2 linked regions of the Drosophila melanogaster genome follow. The protein of the gene in region 2 binds, or shares a complex with, the protein of the main gene of each other region. Each region holds a gene or a part of one and is shown on either strand. Other genes may lie near its edges.

Region 1 (4,716 bases), on a different chromosome or scaffold from region 2:
TACACTTGTAATAACCATATTATAATTTCGACTTAAAATCCTTTTGCTTAGCTTACGACTTAGAAAAAGTTTTCCAAAAGTAGCTGTGTCTTTTCAGACATATGTGAGTTAGAAAAGACATATATAGAAATAGTTTAACTGCAATAAATTTAACTCGCAGGCCCAATCATAGTGGAATTCTTTGACCTCGCGTGTTCTTTCAATTTTCATTTCCCCCGCGGCCAAACTGAAACCGGAAAGGCCAAACTAGAAAATGGGGCCAGGGAAAAGCAAAAGCAGCTTTACCAGGCAAAGGCTAAAAAGTAAACGCCTTTGGTTAGTGAAAAGTGAAAGAGCAGCGTAAACAAATACGACAGCCGCCGACTCGGGAGCAACTTACATCTGCTGATAAAGAAAACAGCAGGCATCCCATGTGAGCCATGTCCATAGGTTATAAATCGTGGTCGGGCTGCCTGGTTGGGTGGTTCCGACCTGGCTAGGTAGTTTGGTAGTTTGGTTGGATGGTGCAGCGACGTCTTTTTTAATGAAAGATGGCAACAACATCATGAGCGATAAAAGGTTGTCATTAAAATTGCAGTGGTTCTACTGGTTGCTTCATTAGAGCAGGCGCCTCTTCTTTGTCGCGGTGCAAGAGTCGGGAGCTGGGTAGCTCGTATTCCAAACTAGGTTGCCGTTTTGGGTAAATACTGTCGGGCAGAGTCATTGAATCAAGATGAAAGTGGAATTTCTAATGGAAAGACAAAAAGCAACAGCAGAAGGGCAATATCTGCAAAATTCCACGAGGCAAAAATAGGAATGAAAATTGGTAAAACATTTGCTTGGTTTTTAAAATTGCTAGATAACTTGCTGAACATTCTGCCAAAACTTAGAAACTGTAGCTAGCCATATTTTAAAAGTTAATATGAGCTTAAAATATACTGAACTATAGAACTATATGTACTGTTAACACTGATATCAGTGACTGCAGTTAAAACCAAACTGATGCTTACAATTGATTTTGGTGACTTAGATAAAACAAGAACTTTATAACATTTCATCAATTACAAAATGGGTTTTATCTTAATTATCTGTATTGTAACAAAGTCCTAAGAATATTGAATTTTTATGACATTTATTATTAATGAATTAAGGGCAAATATACAAATATCACTAGAAAAGTTTCAACCGTTTTAGAAAATATACAAAATCAGCATCTGAATAAAGTTATCCTCTTCCAGTTCAAAGTGGTTTGTGTTTTCTTAATTACCTTCCAAAAACTTGGTTTATTTTTCGTGATCAACAGCATTTTAAACTAAAACAAGCGCCTCGAGGAAGACTCCCCCTCGCCATTCCCGTCCACTGGACGAGCCAGTTCAATTGAATTGATCCGGACCATGGTGTGCGGAGATCTCTGGAAGTTGATGCGCATGTACTGCTTCCTGCGCTTCTTCCTAAAGTGCGTCTTCGTGTGGCTGAGCGTCTTCTCCACGACGGTGGCCTTCACCAAGATGAGTCCGGGCTCCAAAATGGGCCTTCCCACGAGCGTGAAGTCGCGGGCACCGGCCAGGAGCACCTTATCCAGGCTGATCTCGTCGCCTATCGTTGGCGGCCAGTATCCCTCCACCAGGATGATATCTCCTGGAGTTACTTTAAATTGCTTGCCGCACAGGTGGACAACCGCGAAGAGTCGTCCCTGCTCGGATTTTTGCACCTGCCGGTTGATGCGCTCGCAGATGCTCAGGCACTCCTTCTGCTGATCCTTAGCTATGGCCGATAAATCCACCGATTCCGTCGCCGGCTTGTTTTGCTGCCCAATTACCGGCGATATGCTCAGTGGACGCATGGCACCTACAAAAGAATGGGATTTCATTGGGACCTGGTTATGTCACATTGTTTACATCGATGCTATTTAATATTCACTTACCTGCCGTCAACAAACTGCGATTGGGCACGTGGCGTAGCATTTGACGCATAGTTTGCGCTAGAAAGGACATCGTTTGGCTTTGTTTTTAACTCAAAAGTACATAAATAAATCGGATCGGTTTAATGTCGGCAGATAGGCAAAATGTGAATAACACTAACGCGTTTTCGAACAGCTGTGTTAGCATGCGCACGTTAACATCCCTGTTACATTTTCAGAAATAGCTTGTAATAGCTAGTACGACTAAAGCTTGAAGCAACTCAATAAATAACAATAAGTTACCGCACACTTGCAGATATTTCGGAAAATGGTTTCCTTTACATTTAATTTAATCGTATTATATTTAGCGGCTTGTGTACTTGTAAAACCTAGCTGCCGCTAGCGAATGTTCTCCCACGCTGCCATCACTGACAGCATGTGCTGCGCATAACAGTGCTGTGTAATCATCGAACTTTCAACACTACTCCAAGCAGGCCGGTAATTTCATATACGAATTTTATGCTTAGCAACTTATTTAAGCCCAGTAAACAACTAGTAAGCCACTGAAAAGATCGCACAAGAGTACAACTCCCGACCAGTGATACAGTAGACAGAATCAAAAGCACAAAATGGCCGAGACCGAGAAAATCGAGGTTCGCGACGTGACTCGCATCGAGCGCATTGGCGCCCATTCGCATATCCGCGGATTGGGACTGGACGATGTGCTGGAGGCTCGTCTGGTATCCCAGGGAATGGTGGGCCAGAAGGACGCGCGCCGTGCCGCCGGCGTTGTGGTGCAGATGGTTCGCGAGGGCAAGATCGCCGGAAGATGTATCCTATTGGCCGGGGAGCCTAGTACCGGCAAAACGGCCATTGCTGTGGGAATGGCGCAGGCTCTGGGCACCGAGACCCCATTCACTAGCATGTCCGGATCGGAGATATACTCGCTGGAGATGAGCAAGACCGAGGCTCTGTCACAGGCACTGCGCAAGAGCATTGGCGTTCGCATCAAGGAGGAAACCGAGATCATCGAGGGCGAAGTGGTGGAGATCCAGATCGAACGCCCCGCCTCGGGTACCGGACAGAAGGTGGGCAAGGTCACCCTCAAGACCACCGAGATGGAAACCAACTACGATCTGGGCAACAAGATCATCGAGTGCTTCATGAAAGAGAAGATCCAGGCTGGCGATGTGATCACCATCGACAAGGCGTCCGGAAAGGTCAACAAGCTGGGTCGCAGCTTCACCAGAGCCAGGGACTACGACGCCACTGGCGCTCAGACCAGATTCGTCCAATGCCCCGAGGGTGAGCTTCAAAAACGCAAGGAGGTGGTGCACACTGTGACCCTACACGAGATCGATGTTATCAATAGTCGCACCCACGGGTTCTTGGCCCTGTTCTCCGGCGATACTGGAGAGATCAAGCAGGAGGTTCGCGATCAGATCAACAACAAGGTTCTCGAGTGGCGCGAGGAGGGCAAAGCTGAGATAAATCCGGGAGTACTCTTCATAGACGAGGTGCACATGCTGGACATTGAGTGCTTCTCCTTCCTGAATCGCGCCCTGGAGTCGGACATGGCTCCGGTGGTGGTGATGGCCACCAACCGCGGCATCACTCGTATTAGGGGCACTAACTATCGCAGTCCGCACGGCATACCCATTGATCTACTCGATCGCATGATCATCATACGCACTGTACCGTATTCCGAGAAGGAGGTTAAGGAGATCCTAAAGATTCGCTGCGAGGAGGAGGACTGCATCATGCACCCGGATGCCCTGACCATTCTTACACGCATCGCCACAGATACCAGTTTACGCTACGCCATCCAACTGATTACCACAGCCAACTTGGTCTGTCGTCGCCGCAAGGCCACCGAAGTCAATACCGAGGATGTGAAGAAGGTCTACTCGCTCTTCCTGGACGAGAATCGCTCGAGCAAGATCCTCAAGGAGTACCAGGATGACTACATGTTCAGCGAGATCACCGAGGAGGTGGAAAGGGACCCGGCCGCTGGAGGCGGGGCAAAGCGTCGCGTGGAGGGCGGCGGAGGAGATGCCCAGCCCATGGAGCACTAGAGTCTAAACTGACATCGCAGCAACCCCCCAGTACATTCTCATGACTATTTTATGATCAATAAATAAGTTTCCTTGTATCTATGATTAAATTAAATGCCTACGAATTTGGTCATGGTTTTATAACGATTGTAATTAATAAACCATTATCAGCATATGGTTTCAAAGTTTTATAATTTCGGAAAAGGATATCAAATGGCCAATTGGGGTAGTTAAATACAGCATTGGCTAAAAATAAAATCATTTTTCTTCTCATTGTAGCAAGGGAATCAAGATAGTACAAATTTTTCAATAATTAACTTAAAAATTGCGTTTAGTAGCTTGCAAAATAATAATTATAATCAATAAAACGCAGAAATGAACTTAATGCGCATGTTATTCGATTCCTACTACAATTCTCACTAATTTCTAGTTTGAGCTATCTTAGGAAATAACTAGAAAAACAGCCACGCGTCTTGTACCTAAAAATAATTTCATTGCATTTATTTCGCATTTCAATTTACTGACATTAAAACTTAGCGTGAGCATATCAAAATATATCGTCGCATCATCTTTACATTGGTATAAAACTGTCTTTATGGCTTAGTTAGTCTCCTTGAGCGCTGCTCCCCTTTCAATAAATGAAATTTGAGTTTGATTTTCAAAGACCCTGGTGTATCGTTATAGTCTCGAGTGATCTGTCTAGTTCCTAGATGAACTCAACGGGTTTATACTCTTATACAATTTACAATTCCATAATGTTTATATATATATATATATATACGA
Region 2 (5,504 bases):
CCAGAACACCATGTGTTATTCTGTCCAAAAAGCACCCACCAATAGTATAAGTCACGTGTATTAGGTTGACTCGACAAAAGGTCATATATTTACACTTGGAGCCATTAATGTTTAGTTTATTTTCACGCCACTTTATTTGAAATCTATTTAGATCGGATTGTAGTACCAAATACCATGACTGGCGTTGTGGAAGCCATGGAGAAATAGTATGTTTTTAACTCCCGAATATATATATAGTATATAGTGACGTAATTAAATAATTAGAATTGTCCACAAAAAAAAAAGATCAATATCCCAAGCGGGCAATCTCGCACCGGAAATAATATAAACAAATGGGCAATATGTGACATATTCACATAATCAGCACTTTCAGAAGAAATACAGAGTGGCGATTCCACGCCATGTACGCTAGCTGTATACAATAAATATCTTAAGCGGGCGATCCCGCTCCAGAAATAATGTAAACATAGGCAGTATAAGAAAGATTTTTGTCACTAACATATAGTCTTAAGCTGAGATCAAAAGAATAAAGACGTGAAAACCATCTCTATGATAATTTTTTATTTCTTAGCGTTGACCTTAGTCAACTGAAATTAGTTAGACTCAAATATATAACAATTATTTTACTGTATGCATGTATGCATATAGTAATGCATATTAGTTTACTTTTCCATGAAAATGCATTAATTATATATGTAATTGTATTTGTTGTATAGAAGCAATTACTGGACCACCGGCGGATGAAAAGGTGGACGACAATACGCAGCCTCTTTATTGAAGCAATATTAAAAAAGAAAATAATAAATTTAATAGATGAATTCTTTTTTGTTTTTATTTAAAACGTCGATGTTTTTTCAACATATTTCGCCAAAAACATCGATGTCCGCCATCATCGATATTTCTCAATCTCTATTAACAGAGTCAAATCAAAGACATTAGAATAACATGATTGGTAACGACCATACGTTGGTTTAGCACAATGCAGTCACTTTTTTGGTGACGGTCAATATTGACATTCTCTGGTAATCGAATTCGTAAGAATTTTACTTTTGTCTGGGCGAAATTAAAAGTAAATGCCTGTTATACATACATATATCTATCAAATCAGATCTTATTAACTAAGGAAAAAATATTTTATTCAGTGGTCTATCGATGTTAATTCCAAATCACCACAAGATCATTCTGCCAATGCGTTATTATACAAAAAATGTATTTCCGACCCCACCTCAGATTTGACAAACAACATTTTGCCGTCAGCAACAAATATTTTCGATTTAGCAAGGGGATTAGCAAAGGAGAAGTACGTTCCCAATATTTATTGCGAAGGCTGCCATACTGTTGGTAAAACGAAACAGGCAGGTAAAAATACTTATAAAATATAAAAGAATTCATTAATGAATTTCAGGAATGGCCAAAAGAGTTGTATGTATTTAATTAAATGTATTTTTATTACTTAAATGTCAAAGTGCAATAACAAAGTAATTGCGAACGTCGGACTTAAAACTGTAAAAAAAGGTGTCCGCTCTATGGTCTGGAAAACAGCTTGAACAGCTGTTTAATGTTTACAAAACATTCCGATAGCAAAAATTTTGCGAAAACCAAAACAGCTAAAAACGAAATCAAAAGATTTTGCCCAAATCGAAATAAAAAATAAAAATTACAGGAGCATGATTGACTATAAATTATCGCTGTGCATGCTTGGCATCTCTTACATCAGCACAAAACACAAGGATTGGCAGAATTGGCGCTTTTTCAAATCTACAGCAGAACACAAGATCAGTAGAGATGTTGAACCATCGGTGCCTGATCCCACGCAGTAGAAACTTTCCCCTTTCGTTTAACAGTTGCCTCTTTTAAATCTGTTCCAGTCTCATGTTAAGCTTTGTTAACGATGGGAAATTGGTTATAGCATGATTGCACTCGTTTTCCGAAATGAGGATGATTCCATTTCCACATTTTCGAAATGTATTTGTGGACCGTATCATATGAACTTTATTTATCACTAAAACTAATAGAAAAATATACACATTCTTTGATAGGATTTTCTTTAAGCATATGAAAAATTTAATTCATATCGGTTTACAAATTTGTAGTATTATTTAATTTTATGTTTTGCATGTATATTTCAAGCTATACCGATATAATTACAGAGATTACAGCCAGCTTGTTCTATATTTAGAAGCTAGTCGACGTGGAATCAAGATATATTTTGCGTTGTAAAAAAATACTAAAGTTTAGTATGTTGCAAAAAACCCAAATATTTAGGCATCGAATACCCATGCCAAACAAGCAGAATAACCTTTTCAATATTTTGAGTCATTTGGTATCGCGTTTTATAAAAATTACTTGAATTCTTTTGTTTTCCTCGGCTTTTAGTGAAACAATTCGACTATCATTAAATTTATGTGGCGTTTAATTAATCTTTCGTATTATTTCAATCAGAATTTTTTTAACATATTCACTACATTTTCTTAGAGAACCGTTTGTCATATTTAATGTATATTATGTTCCCTACTTAAATATGACAATTATTAATTCTGTGTGTGTACGTATCAATCATCCGTGATATTATATTCATGTCTTATATTGCCTACATATGGAATAATGGCAGTAAAAATGCTGTTCTTTCAGATACATCAAATAGCCTCAGGGAATGCAACGCTCAGGAAACATACAAATCTTACCTAACACATGTGCCTACAATTATCCTGGCATTTGAAATGCTTTAATACTAACTTTAAACTCATGCGTATGTGGATTATAGTATTGTAAATATGGCATACGAACGTTTTGGAATTATTCTTCAAAGTGAACAGTACGATGAAGATATAGGCAACACAAAAGTCAATCAGAAAATGAATGAAGGTAAGTTCGGATTTTACAGGCATGTCTATGTTTTGAAAATCGAATTATAGCAACAAAGCACTTTTTTATAAAGCGTAACAACAAAATACTGTTTAATGAAGCATAAAATATAAACATATTTACTTGTTATACCCGTTAGTCCTAGAGTAAAAGGGTATACTAGATTCGTTGAAAAGTATGTAGAAGGAATCGACCACAGTATTCTTACTCATGATCACTAGCGCCAAGTCGATCTGCCCGTATAAACGTTGAGATCTCGGGAACTAAATAAAAGATGTGAAAGTTAAGATAAAGCATGCACATTCTAGAGAAAATTACCACTTCTACTCCAACGCCCACAAACCTTCAAAAACTGTCAAAACTAAAATTTTAATATTGTTTAAGCCGCCATACTAACATTTTTAAGCCAAGCCCAGATCGTTAATGTCAGCTTTTAAGCGCCTTGGCATCGAAGAAATGAAGTATCATCAGATTGTTCAGTAATATGTTAGGTTAAGGTTTTTCCAAAGGAGGCAAGACTCGGAAGACTATCACTCAAAACACAGTGTTGACGGGTGTGAGGCTAATCCTCATCTCTCGTGAGTTACCTGTAATGGCGGAGACGCCGGGTACCCATGTAAGCGTTAGTTTGGGTGTGCTGTAGACGTTCAAGTTCAATAATGGTGTTGCTCACAGGCACGCTCTTGCTAGTGTTCGCTTGAAATGTTAATATGCCGCATGACTGTCCACAATCAAAGCTGTTATTCTGATTCCCATCTGACTCACATCGTTCTTTAATTGCTAAACTGCAGAGTCCTTATACCCTTGTGAGCGTTAGTTTAGTGTGCCGTAGATCTCCCAGTTCCATGATGGTGTTGCGCACAAGACCCGTTACCTTTTCGCTTTTGGCTTAAAGATTTAAAGAATATTATATGGATATGTACGGATTTGCGGATATCCTAATGTGCTTTTGAAGACATAGAATTTTAATTTAAAGTATTTTTAATTAGCTGCGCAAATAATTTTGTATAGAGAATATAGTAGCTAATTTGGTTGAAAATTTATCACGCTATATAAGTATTCTTAAACTCGCAAAGTAAAAGGGGTTTCGAAAAACAATGGCAACCGAAGGAAGCGTTCCCGACCCTATAAAGTATATATATTTTTGATCCAGTGAACTACCCAAGTCGAACTGGATATGTCTGGCAGTATGAATGTCGAGATCTCAGGAACTAAATAAGCTAGAAAGTTGAGATTAAGCATGCAGATTTCAGAGACAAATCCGCTCAAGACTGCTATTTGATTATTTTTCTCCACTAGTTGCGTAATGGGTATCTGATAGTCGGAGAACTCGAACATTTTCTCTCCTTTGTTCATAGATTTAAATATCAACATGCTGTGCATGCTTGCTTACACTGATATAATCGCCTTTACCCGAAATTGTCTGCCTGTACTTGTTCAATATTTATAAAGTATTAATTACGTTATAAAGTATATACATTATATACACTTTTTGTCCGTTTCTAGGTAAACTAGTTTCCAAATTTGAAAGAATTATTTCTTTAGAGGATCAATATACAGCTGAATTCATTGAAATATTTTCCCTGATCCCTCCCTCTCTTTCGTGAGCGACTTTTATTTTACTTTTGTAGAATGGACATTTACTTTTTTATGGTGTTTATTAGAATAGAGTTGTCTGATGTTGTTTAACGAAATAAAAATTAAAAAGTGAATTTGATTAAGTTGATTTGCATATTTAAAAGGACAATGCAATAAATAAAATTTTAAAGAGCCCAGAAACGAGGAAATAAATAAAACAACAAAGTATAAGTGTAATATTAGTAAGATCTAATTATGTGTTAAAAAAGTTATAATTGATTGCTGTAAGAGCGGCAGAGAGTAAAGATTACAGATAATAGGATTACGTCTATTATAGTCAGAACATAACATGAACATACAGAATGATTTAAGATTAAGGGTATGTAGTTTCTAGTGAATATACTTGGAACAGAGAAGTTTCGCCGAAAAACCAGGTCGGGACTACTCGTATCGTACTACTCGTAAACTTACTAATAAAGACTGTTCCAAGCATCGTTCTACGGTTAGCTAGGGAGGGTAACTGAATTAGAATTAGTCTACTGGAATGAGGAATAGGACCCACAAGGCAAACATTAAGAATTTTTTTTGGACCCATTCAATGATGCCCAGTCTCTGCCTAGCCTTCGTTGCATACGGACGATCGCGATAGTCTAGTCTGTTTGTTGTAACACATCAACAACTCTTCCAATCGTACTGTGCACGCGCACAATTTCTATTTCTATCCAATGCACAGCAGTGGTGACAGACAATTACGTTACTTATCATAGATAAGCTCAACCAAGCCGACGCTTTGTAAGCCCCTCAATTGTTATCTCTCGAGCTTGCGAAGTTGACAACTAGTAGTAACACCAATGTTACCAACACCATAACCACCCAAGCTAGCTGTTCGCAGGCAAGAAGTGCTGCAATGTCTGAGATGCCATATTTTTGGGCGTTCCAAAAACTATTGTCTCCGGGGTTCAATCTGTGGCAAGCGTGCTGGGCCCCACGCAACTGGCTCTACGCTATGCACGAGGGATAATTATTTGTGTATCAACTGCGGTGGTGATCATGCTGTAACT

Evidence for each region. Proteins that work in one complex are often made in the same cells at the same time.
Region 1: pho (region 2) and rept share a complex: the UniProt entries of both Drosophila melanogaster proteins name them as parts of the chromatin remodeling Ino80 complex.

The regions. Positions count from the first base shown.
Region 1 is NT_037436.4:19,253,007-19,257,722, forward strand, and holds rept (reptin), read left to right. Parts: upstream 1-2,333; 5' UTR 2,334-2,508; coding exon 2,509-3,954; 3' UTR 3,955-4,105; downstream 4,106-4,716. Other genes in the region: mRpL21 (mitochondrial ribosomal protein L21), read right to left, coding at 1,292-1,827, 1,904-1,973. UniProt on the Drosophila melanogaster protein: Acts as a transcriptional coactivator in Wg signaling caused by altered arm signaling. Pont and rept interfere antagonistically with nuclear arm signaling function, and are required to enhance or reduce arm activity, respectively.
Region 2 is NC_004353.4:1,178,409-1,183,912, reverse strand, and holds the start of pho (pleiohomeotic), read left to right. Parts: upstream 1-2,284; 5' UTR 2,285-2,323; exon of another isoform or gene 2,324-2,545; intron 2,546-2,631; 5' UTR 2,632-2,774; coding exon 2,775-2,865; intron 2,866-5,504. UniProt on the Drosophila melanogaster protein: Polycomb group (PcG) protein that binds to the 5'-CNGCCATNNNNG-3' sequence found in the regulatory regions of many genes.